Linked DNA regions of Tribolium castaneum. The protein of the gene in region 1 binds, or shares a complex with, the protein of each later gene. Links are inferred from orthologs where the notes say so. Each region holds a gene or a part of one and is shown on either strand. Other genes may lie near its edges.

Region 1 (6,659 bases):
AATTAATTAAGACGAATTTAAATCAGACTGACCCGATTCTATTATTCGGCTCACGTCTAGCGGATTTGACGTTTGAATGTGCATTGTGGTGCAAGAAGCGAGTTCATTGAAGAACGCAGAGGCGGATTTTATTTTGTTAGTTTGCAAATTTTCAATCGAGAATTGTGAGATGTGTGGGACACATCACAGGAAATCCTCCAAATGATGACGTCTTTCGTTTTTCTACCAACATCTGGCGCAGAAGGGGCGGAAATTGGGCTGACGACCCTTCATACCTGCACACTTATCACTTGATTAATTTTTGCCCGCGTTTATCAATTAGAGCGCGCCGATTAATCATGGCTTAATTAGCAATTAAAGATATTTATAGGAAAGACAGACATATTTATAGGTGTAAAGACCAGGCGTCTGGAAAAACAAACAAAAGAACAATTCCGGCTATAAATAAATCACTTGCTAGGGTGGACGAAAAGACCAATTTATATCCCGTATAAGAATCAAAGACCTTGTAGGTAAACAAAGAAATGAGATGACACTCTGCTCAAGCATCCATTACGCCTACAGATCACCGATGTGGGCGCATTGTTTGATTTAAACACCTTACCGAGGGTGTAAAATACCTACCCCAAAAAATTTATATACACGACGGGTGCCAACAATAGCTGGAAATTAAAAAACAATAACCACACAAAGAGACTGAGACAATGGACAAACACGTGATGGGTTTATTTACACGAAGGAATTAGTTTTGAATGACCGCCCTCGTAGTCGTCAAAAATTTTGGCAGTGTTTGTTATTCACACTGCTAAAGTAAACACTAACATTTGACCCTGACGGAGAAAACAAACTCAATGTTTTTTAATTAGAATAAAAATGACAATCAGAATCACATTAAAATTCCTCGACCATTGTTGAAGATCACACCTGATTCAGTGGCGCTAATTCATAAACTCAGGTAAAATAGTTTCGGAAGCAGCCACCGAAAGGTCTTTGATGCCTCTGGAAGGCTTCGCCCATAAAGACGATATTTTTAGCTTTTAGTGCGACACATGCTAATGCTTGGAGGTGCATAATATTTTTATGGTAATGTTTCTTTTAAATGTTAAACAAATGACATCACGTTTACATAATTCCACGACCCAAAAAAATACAATACAATTTTTCGACGAAAACTAATTAGTAATTATTGCAGAAACATGTTAAAATGAGTAACGATAAGTGGTTTTTTAATGACTTATTTGGGTCGATAAGTTGACCACTAAAAGGTTTACTCATTATTGCGATTAGAGCAACGAGACGACTTTTGGAGGCCTTATTTTCGGTCTTGTTGCGCATTTTACGATAACCCTTTTGTGACCTTTTTATCGGAACTGCACCCAAAACTATAATTAAAATTCTTTCCCCTAACTACTCAAGCGAGTGGTCAATTAATTTCTAAAAAAAGAGCGATTTGTGCGAAATAATTATTTACCATGACTGCAAGTTCCACTTGTAATTATTCCAAGCAAGATGATTAACAAAAGTCGCAACCTTGGGCCCAGCACCTTTAGCACCTACACCAACCCGGCACGCTTTTTTACTTAGAAAAAGTACCAAAAATTGGGCAAAATTTTGGAAAAATGGGAGAGGAGAACGCGCACGGTATCGGCACCGAAAGGTTGAGAACCAACTGAATTGCTATAGCATGGGTACTCTCCATAAAGCAGCCTCGGGCTCTTTTGTACGGATTGGTTTCGTTGGTCGATCTTTGAAACAGCTGGAGCTGGGTTTAAGTTCACTTGGCAGTGACCTTGATGCCTCGAAAACGCTGCATTCGCACTGTTTATTGTTCAAACTGTTTAATAAAATATGGTACACGCAAACATTTCACATATTCATGGGAGGCCTCCGCGAAATTCCGCAAAATTAAAATGCGTGACCTTATCGTTCTCCGCGCCGATTTTTTAAAATCCACAAACTGAATAAAATACCTTGTAACACTTTCAGTATGCCGTAAAAACGCTCTTTTCACCGCGGAAGTATTGTTGAGAAATCTTTGATCGAACTTGTTATTGTGCCATAAAAATTTAATTGTACGCTAGAGCTGTTATTAGCCACTATTATCGGTTTTTGCTTGTTTTTGCACCAACAGCCATTTCTCTTCAAGAAAAAGCGAAAGTCTGTGTCAAGTTATTCATTTTATGGGAACACATTAAAAGTCGCTGTCGAAGTAAATATTCTGAAAATATCGCGACCTGAGAACCATAAGGTTCTGACTATTTCACAATTTTACAATATCATATCTTGTCTTCTCAATTGCCTGAAATGTTATCATAAAATATAACACGTATTATATGTTAATCTACAAACAAACAATACACAATACAAGAAAAAAATAGCAAACTTTTCAGACATGCTCTACTTAAAATTTTATTGTTTTGAACTTTTAAATCAATATTTAAGGTTCCAAAGTAACAAATTTTGCCAAAATTACTTCCATGTAGGTACTTTTTGTTTTCTATCAATAGCTAAACGTTACATCATCTAGTTTTCTTTTATTTAACATTTAAAGATCATTAAAATCCCAAAATTCCCAGGTCGTGATATATTTTTTAGGCAAACGTGACCCCCAAAATCACATTCAAATTTTTTTGAAATTTTAGATTTGTCACTAATTTAGTAAGTCTGTAAATTTTCAAATATGTCTGGAATTAATAAAACCACCAATTCCTGGCCCTCTAGTTATGTTATAATTGCGTAAACACGTACATATAATTAATTATAATTTATTCTAAATGCACAAAAAAATCTGGCGACTTTAAAATTCAAAAATAGTAGGGAATTTGTCATTATCACCAGTGCCACATAACCTCAACCTCTTGCGTTGTTGTGTGTTGTCAATAATCGCCCCAATTTCTTACTGTGTTTTTGTGAGTGCTTAAAAAATGACCACCGACACCGAAACCTCCCCACAGCCCAAACCCAAGCGTAAAAGCCGCTCCAAATCCCCTGAATCCCGTAAAAAACGTCGTGACGACTCGCCCCATAAAGACTCCCGGAAGCGTTCCCGCCGTTCGCGTTCACGAGACCGTCGCAAAAGTCGCAAATACCACGACTTGGACCGCCCCCTTGAAGAATACCCTCGGTATTACGGCGAGGATCAAGAACACAAGAAAAACAGCGATAGATATTGGACCAAATACCCCCGCAAGGATGACCATCAGGTGGGTAGTAGGTATTACGGGGGCGAGCCCGACGATAAAGACAAAGAGTCTGAGAAGGAGACGGATAAGTCGGTGATAGCCCCCCGTGAGCGCAAAACCGTGGATTTACTGACACGGACAGGTGGGGCTTACATCCCTCCAGCGAAGCTGCGGATGATGCAAGCGGAGATTACTGATAAGAGCTCGGCGGCGTATCAAAGAATTGCGTGGGAGGCGTTAAAAAAATCCATTCATGGGTTTATTAACAAGGTGAATACGTCCAACATTGGGATTATTTCGCGGGAATTGCTCCATGAGAATGTGGTAAGGGGGCGCGGACTGCTCTGCAAGTCCATAATACAAGCGCAAGCTGCGTCCCCAACTTTCACAAACGTGTACGCAGCCCTGGTCGCTGTCATCAATTCGAAATTCCCTAATATTGGAGAATTGTTACTGAAACGTTTGGTTTTGCAATTCAAGCGCGGTTTCAAGCAGAATAATAAAATTATCTGCATTTCGGCCACGACTTTTGTGGCTCATTTGGTTAATCAGAGGGTTGCGCATGAAATTCTCGCCTTGGAGATTTTGACTCTTTTGGTGGAGACGCCAACTGATGATTCGGTTGAAGTTGCGATTTCGTTTCTGAAGGAATGTGGACAGAAATTGACTGAGGTTTCGAGTAAAGGCATTAATGCCATCTTTGAAATGTTGAGGAATATTTTACATGAGGGGAAGTTGGAACCGAGGATTCAGTACATGATTGAAGTTATGTTCCAAATCAGGAAGGACGGGTTTAAGGATCATGCCGCTGTTATTGAAGAGTTGGATTTGGTGGATGAGGAGCACCAGTTTACACATTTGATTACGCTGGATGATGTTAAGCAATCAAATGCTGAGGATATTTTAAGTAAGGAAACTTTTTAATTAGGTGGAACTGTACTTAATTTTTTATACAAAAAAATCGGGGTATCCAGGTTTTGAGATTTTTTATTATTATTTTTTTATTTCTCAGAAAAAATTATTTTGAAATTTTAATTAATTAATTCCTTAATTTGCCTCGTTCACTCTGTGATTATCCTGTCTAGATGTGTTTAAATTCGACGACAACTACGAGGAAAACGAGGGGAAGTACAAGACTTTGAGCAAGGAAATCCTGGACATGGACAGCGAGTCGGGCTCCGGCTCGGAGGAAGAGTCCGGTGACGAGGAAGACGACGAAGACGAGGACGAAGAGGAAGAAGAAGGCGCCCAAAAGAACGAATCCAACATAATCGACAATACGGAGACCAACCTCGTGGCCCTACGCAGAACAATCTACTTAACCATCCAATCAAGTTTAGATTTTGAGGAAAGTGCCCACAAACTAATGAAAATGGAACTGAAACCGGGCCAAGAAATCGAATTATGCCACATGTTCCTCGACTGTTGTGCCGAACAACGGACTTACGAGAAGTTTTACGGATTATTGGCACAGAGATTTTGTCAAGTGAATCAGATTTATGTCGAGCCATTCCAACAAATCTTCAAAGACACGTACGCCACAACACACAGACTTGACACAAATAAATTGCGAAATGTTAGCAAGTTTTTCGCACATTTGTTGTTCACCGATGCGATTGGATGGGAGGTTTTAGAAATTATGAAACTGAACGAAGAGGATACCAATAGTTCCAATCGGATTTTCATCAAGATTTTGTTCCAGGAATTGGCCGAATATATGGGCTTGGAGAAGTTAAATGCCAGGCTTAAAGATGCGTAAGTGACTGTGTTTGATAATTAACGAGGTTTTGTTAATTTTTTGGATTTTTTTCAGAACGCTTCAGCCACATTTTGAGGGGCTGTTTCCGCGCGATGATCCCAAAAATACAAGATTTGCGATTAATTTTTTCACGTCGATTGGCTTAGGGGGGCTTACGGCCGAGTTGAGGGAACATTTGAAAACAGCCCCTAAAGTCAATCCCTTGACGATTACTGAAAAATCAAGTGATTCTAGCAGCAGTAGCACTAGCAGTTCAAGCTCATCCAGTTCCGATAGTAGTGATTCGGATTCGTCAAGTTCCGAAGATGAGAAACCACGTAAGAAGAAGGAAGAAAAGAAGAGGAAAAAACCGACAAAAGAAGCATCAGACGATGATAAAAAACGAAAAACAGATGCGAGGAAACACAGACATAATGAGAGACGGTCACGCGATCGAGACGATCGGAGGCGGCGTAGGAGCCCCGAGAGGAAGCATAAGAGTAGGAGATAAGTTACTTTGTACATAAATTGTATTGAATAAATATTTTTATTTGTGACTTGTGTTTGATTCCTTAAAGTTACCAGATTTGAATTTGGCGCTTAGTCAAACCCACACTTTTGGCATTTTTTTTGACGAAATGTGGGTGTTAATTAAATTGCGTGTTTGTGCTTTTGCTAAAATGAGACAAATTTGGGTGAAAATTTTAATTTTGGGTTAGTTTTAACTGAAAATTTGGGTGAACAAGGCTTGGTGGTTTTTGTTGGCGAGGTTGGCAAGCAGTTTCGTCGGGTCCGAGCTGTCATTTTGTGTGTCACTAATTTTTGTTCATTGTGTAGTAAATTGGTGCTATCGTGTTAAAAACAATAAATCCGATCAAAGGTATTTTTATGAGGAAGAAAAACAGTAATCGTATTAGTGCAACGTGAGCTATTTAACCAAAGTAAGTAGCTAGAGCCAAGTCGGTAGGTTAGATGAGTGGAGACGATGTTTTTTTTATTATGTCAAATGCGTCATTCGCATTAAAGTAAATCTCAATGTTTCGTGTCGGATTGTAACGGGGTCCTGGACCTGTTGATTGAGGCGTTCGCGGGGCCCCTGAAAAGTCAGCTGATTTCGGACAACGACGCCCTTGAACCCCGGAGCCTTGAGAGCCATACGCCCCCTTCTTTTTTAATTCCACGACACGGTTATCAGCTCTCTTATGTGTTATAGGTCATTGCTGTGAAGCCCCTATCGGGGATTAAAGCCGCACAGACTGGCTTGCATAAACAGATAATTACGAACGTAGTTATGACCACTCGACAACTACCAGAACATTTACCAGAGATAAGAGATTGTATTAATCGCAGAACAAACTTGTAAAATTTCGACCAAGTGCGATAACTCATTTTTTCACACACAAGACCTGAATCTCTTCACGTTGGTGAATTCTCGCGGAGACGTGCTTTCATGCTTTACAAGGCCGGATGTAACATTGCATTATTTGATTATTCTGAAATTATTCCTGTGCCAGGTTTTCCCTCCAATGCCACTGTTATTGTTATGAATAACATTCAGATTAGTCATCCGATTAACGGAAAGAAAGCTGAATTTATACCAAGGGTGGTTGTTTTATCGTAAGTTAGGGGAAGTGACGTCTCTGTTCACAAACAATTGATTTTGAACTTATCAATGATCCCAAAATAAATACGTTTTTATTCAAATTCATTATTAATTGTTAGCTGTTTAAACCCTCTTA
Region 2 (6,907 bases), about 2.4 Mb from region 1:
ACCTCTGAAGCAGCTTGAATGAACTTTAAAACGTTTCAGTAATTCAGATAAGTGCAATACTTATTCATGGTTTTATGGTGAAAGAAACTTGTCGAAAGGAATTTTTATTTCTTATTTGCAAAATAACTCGGCTCGTAAAGATATGATGGTCAAATGTTAAAAACACAGCAGGTTTTTTAATGCAAATATTCATGCAACAAAATCAAAAATTTAAGTATCGGCTCCACTTTTGAGTGATAAAAGACGTTCAACTAAGCATGAAATAAGCTCAGATTTTTTCCGAGCAGTTTAATTTTTCCTAATTAATGTTGAATTTACAGGTTTTTAAATGTTTTTTACTCCGTGAAACACAAATTGCTGTTTTCTTGCCTTGAAGACCGAGCTTATTTTGTATCTGTAATTATATTTTTTCTTTCACTACAAACTATAATTAACCGCTGAGTTACTGGTGTAACCACAGAAATTGTTCAAGATAGTAGTTATTATTTTGCTAAAAATGGTGTAACAGTTTACATTTTTGAAAATCGTAGGTAAATGCTTCAGTTTTAAGTAGGTTACCTAAATACTTTTTCGCCTTGAGCGACGTGATTACCAATAATGGCTGTTCCAAGCGCAAAGAATCGTTAATTCGTTGAACCATTTCTAAAGCTTGTTATTTCTCGTAATTAAATTGGTTGGACCACCAATTTAAAAAATTACAAGTTGTTTCATTGTTAAAGTAATGTCTTTACTTTTTTATTTGGACCAAACATTGAGAAAAAGGCGGATTTTTGCGTGACCAGGTGCCCATTACGAATTATTTACTGTTACACTTCGTCTCATTTAAATAAATTAAACAGGTGTTTCCAAAGTCAGGTTCAACGAAATATTTTGTCGGATGGTATTGAACTTTCTACGAGAAACTAATAACGTGATTATGCATTTCCAAAGCTATAACGCATTTAGAGAAATTAATTGATAACTTTATGTCTAGACTAGCTGATGGTTAATAAAAGTAAAATGCAATAAATTATACATTATGTTGGTTGATAGCCGGGTGATAAGTTAATTTCTAAAATTTCGTGTTAACGACTTGGGGCGATAAAAGAAATACAAAGTGCGCATTTTCACTCATTTACAATTTCTCAAAACTTGTTTAAATTTTACTTGTTTATATTGTCCTGTTATAATTACAATTTCGTCGTGCGGTTCAAGTACCTCGTATTATAATTTTCTGGTTTCTTATCCCACCTCACGAACAAAGTCGCACGACATAATTAAATTAGCGGCTTTTTTCAACTATACTATACCCTCGAAGAGGTAATTGCGATCGATGAGGTCTAATTAAGCCTTCGATAAGCACGGAAACTTCGTGACATGAATTTCGTCTTCGGCTGTAGGTCTTTTAAAAATTAATCACGAAAAGTACCGTTTAATTACCATCTCAACCTCATTCCGAAGGCTAGTCATCTCAGACAATACGAAATACCTGACCAAATACTCAACAAGATGATGACATCACCGGTTTTCCAAAAAACCGTCAATGATGGGTAAAATCATCTAAACCCGACACTGTCCCGTGCATTACATTGACCACCTGTCCAGTACGTACCTACTCAAAGCGATACCTGATCATTGACCTCATCATATAACTGTTCTTCGGCGTTTATGTGGGCTGCAGAGGGCAAATATTTTGAATATCGGTAAATCTACATACTCGCGCGAATTGAGCCCTGCGCCCCTGCAAACTTACCGCAAAAACCGTATTTTTGCTAATGGCCATCCTGTCCTGACTCTGGCACTTATGAGACTCGAAAAATTGCAAATCTAGCAAACAATAATTTTCGGTGCGTTTCACTCAAAATTGCCAATCCATATTTGAACCACCTTTTTTCTACTTTATTTTTTCACTAACTGGCACTGTGGTCACTGGTGCACTTTGGTCGGGTGCTGCACGAAATAATTTCTTTGAAGTGTGCCAGTAGACTGAAGACCAGGTTGTTCTTGAACTTGTGAAACGGAAATGATATAATGTTGTACCTGGGAGGGATTAAAGAACAAGAACAGTTGCTAAGTGGGAGAACACCCTGTTTTCCTATTATAACAGATGACTGGCTAATAGTCGACGGACCATTACGGTTCAATGGAGGCTACCTGTCTCATCTGGGCCCCCAATTATGTTGTGCTGAAGACAACTTTGTTTCTCGAGTTCTAAGAAAAATACCAATTGGGATTTGATTTCGTGAACAAAACAGTTTTTTTGACTAGCACTTTATGTTTAGAGCGTTTGATTGGGAGTGAATGACCGGCAAAAAGCAGTTCATTTGGGAATTTTTCCGGAATTTTATTTTTTACAACTGGGCTGCTCTTGTGTGCTATTTTTGCACAAAGTAGCGTTTTTGCCTCATTTTTAGTAAAATACGTGGTTGGGCGTTGTTGTAGTTTTGCGATAAAGCGGCTTTTATTAAAATAGGTTTGAATGAGTTCTCAGATTTTAAAGTCGCGCTTGGCCCGGTCGGTGCGGTAGAGCTGCGGTGGTAAGGCAGAATCTGGAATTATCAACAAATTTGACGCCATGACGCCACGCCATTTTGTTGGAAGCAACATGGATTTGTAGAATTTAGTGCGCGATTAATTGTAAAAAACGATGATTTTTTTATTGTGAGTCGCGTTAATCGGGAGTTTGCATTAACCGCTGTAGTTTAGTGTTATAGTAAATCATGTGAAGAATTCAATTATGTGTATATCGTGAAGTCAAGTACCGGCGTCTGTGCTACAGTTCCTCGTTTCTTGATTTAGTAATTTGAGTGGTTTTTGTTAGTTTGCAACGAAAGGACCATTTCCGGACTCTATGATGATGTATACGGTGAGTTTTTTGCAAGTGGATTACGTCCCCCCTTGGTGTTTATTAATAGAACTGTCAAATATTTTAAGGGATTATTGTTGTAAACAACTCGTTTCAGGGCACAACCACCGAGCAAGACAATCGCTTCAGCGATAAGGAAAAAAAGCTCCTGAAGCAGATGAAGTTCAGCGATTGTTTGAGTCAGAGGGTAAATTAAGCCAAGCGTAGGTACCGTGATAAAGCAGCGCTCAATTGCAGGTTGATATGTCCAAAATTAAACTTGATGTCATCAAGCCGTGGATCCAAGACAAATTAACGGAAATCTTGAAAATTGATGACGACGTCGTCGTCGATTTTGTTTATAATCAACTAGATGAGAAGGTACAACATTGCCAACTGAAACTCGCTTGCTTAAATATTTACGTTGCAGTTTCCCGATCCTAAAAAGATCCAAATCAATCTTACGGGGTTTCTGCATGGGAAAAACGCGCGCGAGTTCATGGCCGAGCTGTGGGCGCTCTTGATCTCAGCACAGGAGAACCCGTCCGGAATCCCCGACTCACTCTTGGACTTGAAGCGTGAAGAAATCATAAAAAAGAAGGTTTGCATAAATTACATACTTTTGGTGGTATCACCGCTTGTGTTATATTAGGAGAAAGAGGAAAAAGAGCGTGAGATTCGGGACCGGGAAAGAGAAAAAGAGCGCGAACGCGAAAAGTCCGACAAGGAGAAGAAATACAGGGATAGGGACAGGTCCAGGTCTAGGAGGAGATCACGGTCAAGGTCGCGGCCCAGGAGGCGGTCGGTTGAAAGGTCCAGCAGGAACAACGATAGAGGGAAGGACAAGAGGTCAAGGAGCCGTTCCAGATCCAGGATCAAGATTGATGATTTGAGGAACAACGGCAACGCAAGTCCCAACGAACGGGAGAATAATGGCAGAGAGGATTCTGCCAAATTGGAAAGCAGTACTGCCAATTCTAAACATAATTCGTAAGTTTGTTTACTGATAGATTAAATTTGTTGCGGAAATTAATTGCACGTTGTGGTAAGTGGTGAGTTTTGTAAATTGCTTCAGTAACTCGTGTTACGACACAATTTCAGCAAGATGCTAAAAATGGTTATTATTTTTATGACGCGCAAAATTCGTTGAATAAATAAATAAAGAACGTTAGAGAAAGTTGGTTTCTTTCTTGATTATATCACTGGCTAAAAGTATTTTAAGCAAGTGAAAAAATTTGCACATTTTAATACTGCGTGGATTTTTTGTTTAATAAGTTTTCTAAGGTTTGCGCTATTTTGGCACGTTTTGGGATTGATTTTATTTTTATTTGTTAACGTATTAAAATAATTGTGGATTAATTTTTGTGATTTTGTATGTATTTAATAAAAACCATTCTTTGTCAACATGCATTGATGATGCAGCTTTAATCATCTAATGATGGAACGTTATATTGGAAATGGACGTAGTTGTGTGAGCAAGTTGACTTTGTTATGTGATTCAAATAATTTTCTTAAAATTATTCGAATAGATATTAGTTTACAGGTTTTTTGTAATCTGTTTTTAATTACGTCGAAAAATTATGCAAACGGTTATTTACGTTACAAGGATTAAAAACGATATGTTGCATTACGTGGGTGAGTGATACGTTGTGTTTTCATAAGAGTAACGTACAATATTTTTTCTGTAGCTTTATTAAAACATTTTTTAATTATGTATTAAAATAAATGTTATTTTTATTACAAAATTACGTTGGTATTTATCACTTTTTATTTTGTTTTTTTTTTCACACTAATCATTATCGTGCCAGTGCCTGGTAAACACGAATTTATTAATAGATTTTTTATATTTGTATTAGAAGTTTTATTTCCCGGTGTTCTTCTTTGCCAAGAAAACATTTTTAAAGTTTTTTTGTCTTAGCTTGCGTCCAAGCACTTTTATTAAAAAAAGTCAGTTATATAAACTATATTATGGCTATAAATAAATACCTCAGTCTTATTGGTTTTATAAAACTTTATCGTCCATTGTATAAAATAATTACAAAAATTAAAAACCACTTGTAAGGAAGAATAACAGTTTAAATAATAGCGTTACCTTTTTTTTGTATGTGATGGGTTGTACCGATGTATTTAATGTTTGTTCGGACATTTTGTGTAATCAAAATGCATCGTTGGCTTCGTCTTGATTCCATTATTTTTGTTGCCCGTTTTGCAAACGATGTGGGCAGGTTTAACGTTGGCTTTACTGTCTAGAGAGAGTTCCCAGCCCGTGTCAAAGCTTCAAGCGAAGCTGATGTCCATGGCCGGCGGCAACGGCAAACAGCAGCAACAGCAGCGTAACTCCCGTTCCCGTTCGAAATCAGTATCTCGCTCCCGTTCAAAGTCGGCTTCACGCTCCAAGTCACCCAGCAAATCGCATTCGAGATCCCGTTCGTCGTCTAGTCCACGAGCATCAAAGGATCGCAAGTCGCGCTCCCTCTCCAAGGACAAGGAGAAACGTCGCTCCCGCTCCAGTTCGGACGGATCCAAGGACAACTTCGAGATCAGGAAGAAGGAGAACAGCGTCCAGAAGAAACGCCACTACAGATCCAACAAGGACAGCTCCGACAGCGAACCGGACCAGGACAAGGGCAAGAGGAAGAAGTCACTGTCGAAGTCACCGCGACGCGCCAGGAAAAACAGCAGGGATAAGAGTCCCAGACGCAAGAGGAGCTTGTCCAGGAAGAGGAGCAGCTCCAGGAAGAGGTCCCTAAGCCGAAAGAGGAGTCTTTCGAGAAGGTGGGATTTTTATTTCTATTATGTGTTTTACCGTTAAAAACAAGGATACAGAGTTAATTGTCAGTTTATGACATGGTATGTAGTCATTTCTTTAACAGTGTTGTGTCAGTGGTTCAATACTTCTAAATTTGCAATACGTAAACAGTTATCTTCTATTTGAAACTAGCATTCGATTTTTTGTTTTTATTAAGGGGAACTCGACCGTTCAACTGCATGAAAGAGAGATCTTTTAAATATTTTATTTTAAATATATTTTTTTAAGATATTGTTAATTTAAAATCGTGTTTTGTAATTTTTCGTGTTTTTGAATTTCTGTAGATTTATGTCAGAGACGAGAAAAAAATATTAGTTTTTCAATTCGGTTTATAATAAATAAATAATCATGGAAAATATGCGATATATTCTCACTGACACAAATTTATGAGGCTCTTGTAACTACTCAGTAATGCTAATGAATTTCTATTATAAAAACAGTAATTTTTTGTGCAAAATGATCGATAAATCTTGTCCCTAGTGGTGAATTGCCGCTCCAAATTATTTATCGGCCGTATCATTACTTAATTTTGCTTTATGTCACCAATAATTCCACAATTTACCGTTATTGTTTGGTCGAGATCCACTTAAATCTTATATCCGGCGTATCTCAGCTAAGATATTTGTTTTTTTTTTCTGTCTAATTTGTGAATTAATGTGTATTTTTTTTTGAGTAATTTTTTTAGATGAGATAACAAGCGTCTAAAAATGAATGAGATCGTAGTATGTTTTGGCTAGGCCTCATTTAGATATACGCTGGCCTGGCCAACACACCCTACGATGTCATTCATTTTTAGGCGCTTGTTACTTTACTTATGGGAACAGAATCTGCTATTTTGTATTAAATCAATTGATTTTTCGTTGTAAGGCCGCTAACATCAAAAAAACAAAACTTGATACATAGAAAAATCGATTGATTTAGACTGTATTTGAATTAATAACTAGAAGATATATCAAGTTGTTCTTCCTTGTTGGAGGACAGAATTTATCTCAGTTGGCCATGGCCGCTTTTCGACATTTGAGAACATAGCCTACTTTACGCCATTGCCAACTGAACCACAAACAAAAGTAGATACAAAAACTGTTTCGGATTGTAAGATACAGTTCTTGTCGTAGATTTTAATGCAAATTGTTAGTTGTAAGTTTTTAATTTTTACTTCAAATTACAGATAGATTTTTGCTTCCAGACGTAGTCCATCGCGAAGCAAGAGGAGTCTGAGTAGACGAAGGCGGAGCATCTCACGTTCAAGGCGGAGCACCCCGCGGAGAGCAAGC
Region 3 (4,887 bases), on another chromosome or scaffold:
TATGAGGGACCTCCTACCCCATGTCCCGCCAAAGTCGAATATGCTACTCCAGTTTTCGCGAAGAATTATCAAGGAGTGTGGAGATACGTCGTCCAAATCCCTTACGAAGGCTATTTTACCCAAACTGTTGAAGTTACAAGGTGACAACTTAACCAAAATTTTGCCAAATTTTAAAATGTGTTTAGGTGTCTCCAATCGCGCTGCCATTACTTGGACGGTGGTTGCTTGTCTTCGCCGCGATGGTCAAGCCTTCTGGTTGCCGAGATTTACTACCCCGACACTGTTTTGAGCAACAGTGACACCGCGAACCCCCCGCGAAGCCCAGTGGCGGCATCGCAGCCTCCCTCAGTGCAAGACTTTCAGGTAGATGTGAACGGTTAAAGTTTTGCAAAAATCTATTTTTTTTCAGAACTATCAGCAGTATTTGCACAAGAGGGCCGGGCTCCAGGCCGCCCCAGTGGACTCCTCGACCACATCCCGACCCAATCATTGCGACGGAGTAGACGCCCTTGGTTGTTTCCAAGTGCGACTCTACTACGACTGGTTCTTAATCCCCGGCTCTTGCAAGTGTTGGAGACCCGATTATTTTAATAAATACGTCAGGAGGAAATCCACCACTGAACTATAATTTTTCAAGACTGTATATTAGATGATTGAAAAGGGGGATTTTTATTTCAAAAAGTGTAGTCTAGTCTTCGATTTTTGGGGGAGAAGGGTTAAAACCGGCCGATACCGTTTGATTTAAAATCCCCTTTTTGTGATATTTCTCCCGATTTAGGCGACGAGGGAGCGGAAAAAGCAACTTAATATATTTTTATTTATTTGTTACGACTATTCCACCGTTTCACAGGCTTAAGACTTGCACATAATTTATGAATAGGCGATAAGAAATGTTATGAAATAGAGTAATTTGATAAAAAATTAAATTACTGTGTTTCAAAAGGGTTAGGTAATGGACGTGCAAAATTTTTGACATTGTATAATAATTGTGTAAAAATTTTCTAGAAATATATTATTCATGACACTGGTTGTTTGATCTGGGGCAGTTATTCCTGATAAAAAATGGTTATATTTAAATTACGATAAGTATAACGCAAACAAAAACTACAGGCTGATAGAGCATTTAGGGCCACATTCATAATCGGGTTTAAAAGAGCATTAAAGTAGATGTTTATTTTTCACAAATCTTTCACACATTCCAAAAAACATTTAATTTAATGCTCCGTTAAATTCGATTATGAAAGTGGGCCTACATTTTCGATGGCAAGAAATAAAAGCACAAAAATTATCATAAACAATATTAAAAAAAGCAAACTTTCACCATATTTTTTAAAACGCTGCAAATATGGTTGAAAAAAGTGTATAGAATGCTTTTTTCCGAGAAAGTCTGCCATATCATATTTCTATCATTAACCATTTATTAGGTTTAAACAAATTTAGCGTGAGCGGCTGAAATATGGCCTCAAGAATTTTTTTCCACAAAAAAATGTCTGTTAGCTGTTTCAAATTTATAAAAACGCCAACGTTGCATTTTACCGATTTTATTTTTAAATAAGATTGATAAAAATATGAAATAGTTATTATTGATTAAATCTCTTATTGAAACTATAAATTACATTAGTTATTATTTTTTTGAAGTGCATGAATAATTTATAATAGCTAATTTTGAGAGAAAATGCGACGTTAGCGTTTTTATAGTTTTGAGACAGCTAATAATATACGTATTTTTCCCCATTTTTTCAGTTCGTCTCCTTTTTTCTCAAAACAGTTAAAAACTGACCAAATAAACACATAATGTCTATATACGTAAAAAATTACTAAGTATAAAAACTAGCATAACATAATATAATAATAAATAATAGTATATTTAAAAACAAGTTTTCTATGGGATGAGTGCGCCAAAACCCTTATAAAACGAGAATGTTTTTATGATTTTTTCTTATTTTAATTAAATTTTTTTGTCGTCTAGGGAATTTCGTGTCAGTTGGTGACGGTAATAAATAATAAATAAAGAAGAAATGATGATTAAATCGATCGTACGTGTATTCCACGCATTATCGATGAAACTCTTGAAAACTAAATATCCCTAAATTCATTAAAGTACACTGTACTTTAATAGCCATAAACGACTCCTACTGATATATGTTAATACACGTGTATTATAAACGAAAAATATAATATAATAATAGAGAGACTGACCACTATCCTGTTACACTACAAAACGAAGGATTTTTAAGGCTCATATTTACAATTGCGCGTTATTCAAGTGAAAATAGTATAGCATTTTTGGTGGCACCTAAAGAAAATTTCAGAAATACAACACACCCTGTATAATAAATGTTAGCGAGAGGAATAAAAACCTAGGGACTTTTTTGCTGCCGAACAACAGTGGCAACCCTAACATTTAACACTAATGAGTAGTGAGTTGAGTTCGAGGTTAGGTGAACTTAGGAGCATCAAAACAAAAGTGTGTTTCTTCTTTGTGTGTCTCTATTTCGTAATTTACTGCAATTTGTAAAAGTAATGGGCGACCGCTACAACATCCACAGCCAGTTGGAGCATCTCCAATCGAAATATATCGGAACAGGCCACTCTGAAATAACGAAATACGAATGGCTGCTGAACCAGCATAGAGACAGTTACGCCAGTTATTTGGGGCACCACGATTTGTTAAATTATTTTGCGATTTGTGAGAACGAGGCAAAAGCCCGAGTTAGGTTTAATCTAATGGAGAAAATGCTTCAACCGTGTGGTCCACCTCCAGATAAACCCGAGGATTAGATTATAGTAAAGTCAATAAAAATTTTCATATAATCGTTGTTTTTTTTAAAAGACCATTTTAGAATTCTTCCGATAACTAAAATAATTGTAGCCGAAAGGTCTACTTTGTATTTCATTTCGCCTTTATTAGAATAGAATACCTACTTTATTTGTGTCAATACTAATTGCACTAATAGAGTATTCCACACACGCCGCAAAATTAACTTACATTTAAATAGGTATTACTGTATTACATAGGCAAGATATCACTAAAATCATTCCGAAGATATGTATTCCTTAATCGAATAAAAAGTTTTGGAAATTAAATAGTGTTTCAAGTTCTTTAATAAAAACATGGAGGAAAATTTCTAAAGGTAGTGGAAGGGCATTTAAAAATGTATTTATTTATTACCCTTATTAGGAATATAATTTTTTCTAGTACAATAATTTATGACTTTAAGAGAATATTCTTAGCTTTAGTTCGCTGCATTTTTATAAAAAAAAAACAGATTTTCAATATATTTATTTTTTATTTACCAATTATAGTGACAATAATAGCATACTTAATTGACTGTAAAATGTAACAATTATAAAAATATAGCTTGCTTATAAAATATGACAGATTCAACCTTGGACTTTTTTTTACAAATGAAACCAATCTACACCAAAAATTTGACTATGTGTGCTGTATAAGGCTTATAAAGGCCAAGAAAGTTGGGTTCTATTTCATAACACTATTATGAACCAAGTCCTGAAAAATTAAATAATAAAAATATGCTTACGAAAAAAAGCGAGACAACCTGAAGCTCGTCAATAGTCCAATTCCAGTCTTCTTTAGCAATTGCAGGAACCACATCCATAATCACTTTAGTAACTTTAGTCACATTTTTCTTAAATGTGGCAAGAACATCAGCAACAGTCACATGTTCGTCTCTATTTTCTTTCCAACAATCATAATCAGTGACTAAGGCAATTAAGGCATAACACAAACCGGCCTCTTTGGCTAAAATAACCTAGAAAAACAATGACAAAGGGGCCCTTTCCCTACTAAAAAATACCTCTGGCACTGAGGTCATATTGATGATATCCCCACCCCACTGCCTGAACATTTTACTTTCAGCCTTGCTGGAAAACCGGGAGCCCTCAATAGTGACTACAGTCCCGGTTTTATGGACAGGAAAATTCAGCTTTTGGGCTGTCTGTATAAGCAACTGTCTTGTTCTTTCGCAAAACGCCGGCTCCATCGGCAAATGGCAAATCCCCACAGGGTGGTTTTTCTCCCCGTCATAGAAAGTTTGTTTCCGCCCTTGTGTCCTACCACAACTATCAGAAAAATTCTAAATCAAAATTCCCATCACCTGTCGATGAAACTGTTCAAGATCACCAAATCCCCCGGTTTGATGTGCTCCTGCAGCGAGCCGGTGGCAGTGGCGGCGATGACATGGGTGCACCCTTCCTCTTTAAGGGCCCAGATGTTGGCCCTGTAGTTTATATTGCCGGGCATTATGCCGTGGGTGCGGCCATGCCGGGCCAAGAGCACGCATTCAACCCCCTCGATTTGGCCCAAAGTTAACACGTCGGAAGGCTTGCCGAAGGGCGTATTGACCGACTTCGTTTTAGCGTTTTTTAAAATGTCGGGGTTGTCGAGGCCAGAACCGCCGATTATGCCGATCTATGTGCGGTTTTCGACAAATGCCGGGTTGGAAGGAATATGGACTTACCTTGATTTTGCGTGGCATGTCGGTTAGTTTCACTTTTTTGTTAGGGGACGAAATCTTGATAGGACTTGTGGCCTCGAAATGGTCGACAACAGACAATTTATTGATTAAATCACTTAATTGATTTCGAAACGAAGGTTTAAAAAAGTGCGGTTATGGTAATTTGACAGTTGATGCCTCTTCACACGTGACTCACATGCAGTGTTGCAACCGAAAGAAACATAAAATTCAAAATAAAAAAAATTATGTTAAGCTGTGTGTTGAAATTTTGTAATTTTTTCTTATAAATTTTGTTATGGTGTGGTCAAATTATGCCGTCTAACAGTTTTAGTTAATTTTAGCCTGGTTATTTAGTAGCTTACAAGAGTAAAATTTACCTTCTTAAACTTGACAAATTTTGAAGTTCAAT

Evidence for each region. The genes of interacting proteins can lie anywhere in the genome.
Region 2: ncm (region 1) and Srrm1 share a complex: the UniProt entries of both Homo sapiens proteins name them as parts of the minor spliceosome. The link is inferred for Tribolium castaneum from reciprocal best matches to the Homo sapiens genes CWC22 and SRRM1.
Region 3: ncm (region 1) and Sf3b5 share a complex: the UniProt entries of both Homo sapiens proteins name them as parts of the minor spliceosome. The link is inferred for Tribolium castaneum from reciprocal best matches to the Homo sapiens genes CWC22 and SF3B5.

What each region holds. Positions count from the first base shown.
Region 1 is NC_087398.1:672,873-679,531, reverse strand, and holds ncm (pre-mRNA-splicing factor CWC22 homolog), read left to right. Parts: upstream 1-2,795; 5' UTR 2,796-2,924; coding exon 2,925-4,089; intron 4,090-4,267; coding exon 4,268-4,937; intron 4,938-4,995; coding exon 4,996-5,431; 3' UTR 5,432-5,477; downstream 5,478-6,659. UniProt on the Homo sapiens protein: Required for pre-mRNA splicing as component of the spliceosome. As a component of the minor spliceosome, involved in the splicing of U12-type introns in pre-mRNAs. Promotes exon-junction complex (EJC) assembly.
Region 2 is NC_087398.1:3,110,776-3,117,682, forward strand, and holds the start of Srrm1 (serine/arginine repetitive matrix protein 1), read left to right. Parts: upstream 1-2,534; 5' UTR 2,535-2,830; coding exon 2,831-2,845; intron 2,846-2,942; coding exon 2,943-3,032; intron 3,033-3,082; coding exon 3,083-3,205; intron 3,206-3,254; coding exon 3,255-3,425; intron 3,426-3,476; coding exon 3,477-3,814; intron 3,815-5,074; coding exon 5,075-5,599; intron 5,600-6,819; coding exon 6,820-6,907. UniProt on the Homo sapiens protein: Part of pre- and post-splicing multiprotein mRNP complexes. As a component of the minor spliceosome, involved in the splicing of U12-type introns in pre-mRNAs. Involved in numerous pre-mRNA processing events.
Region 3 is NC_087396.1:17,668,883-17,673,769, forward strand, and holds Sf3b5 (splicing factor 3B subunit 5), read left to right. Parts: upstream 1-2,343; 5' UTR 2,344-2,467; intron 2,468-2,521; 5' UTR 2,522-2,523; coding exon 2,524-2,781; 3' UTR 2,782-2,814; downstream 2,815-4,887. Other genes in the region: spz6 (spatzle 6 precursor), read left to right, coding at 1-140, 186-363, 410-628; Mtap (S-methyl-5'-thioadenosine phosphorylase), read right to left, coding at 3,482-3,511, 3,561-3,773, 3,819-4,074, 4,119-4,432, 4,482-4,499. UniProt on the Homo sapiens protein: Component of the 17S U2 SnRNP complex of the spliceosome, a large ribonucleoprotein complex that removes introns from transcribed pre-mRNAs.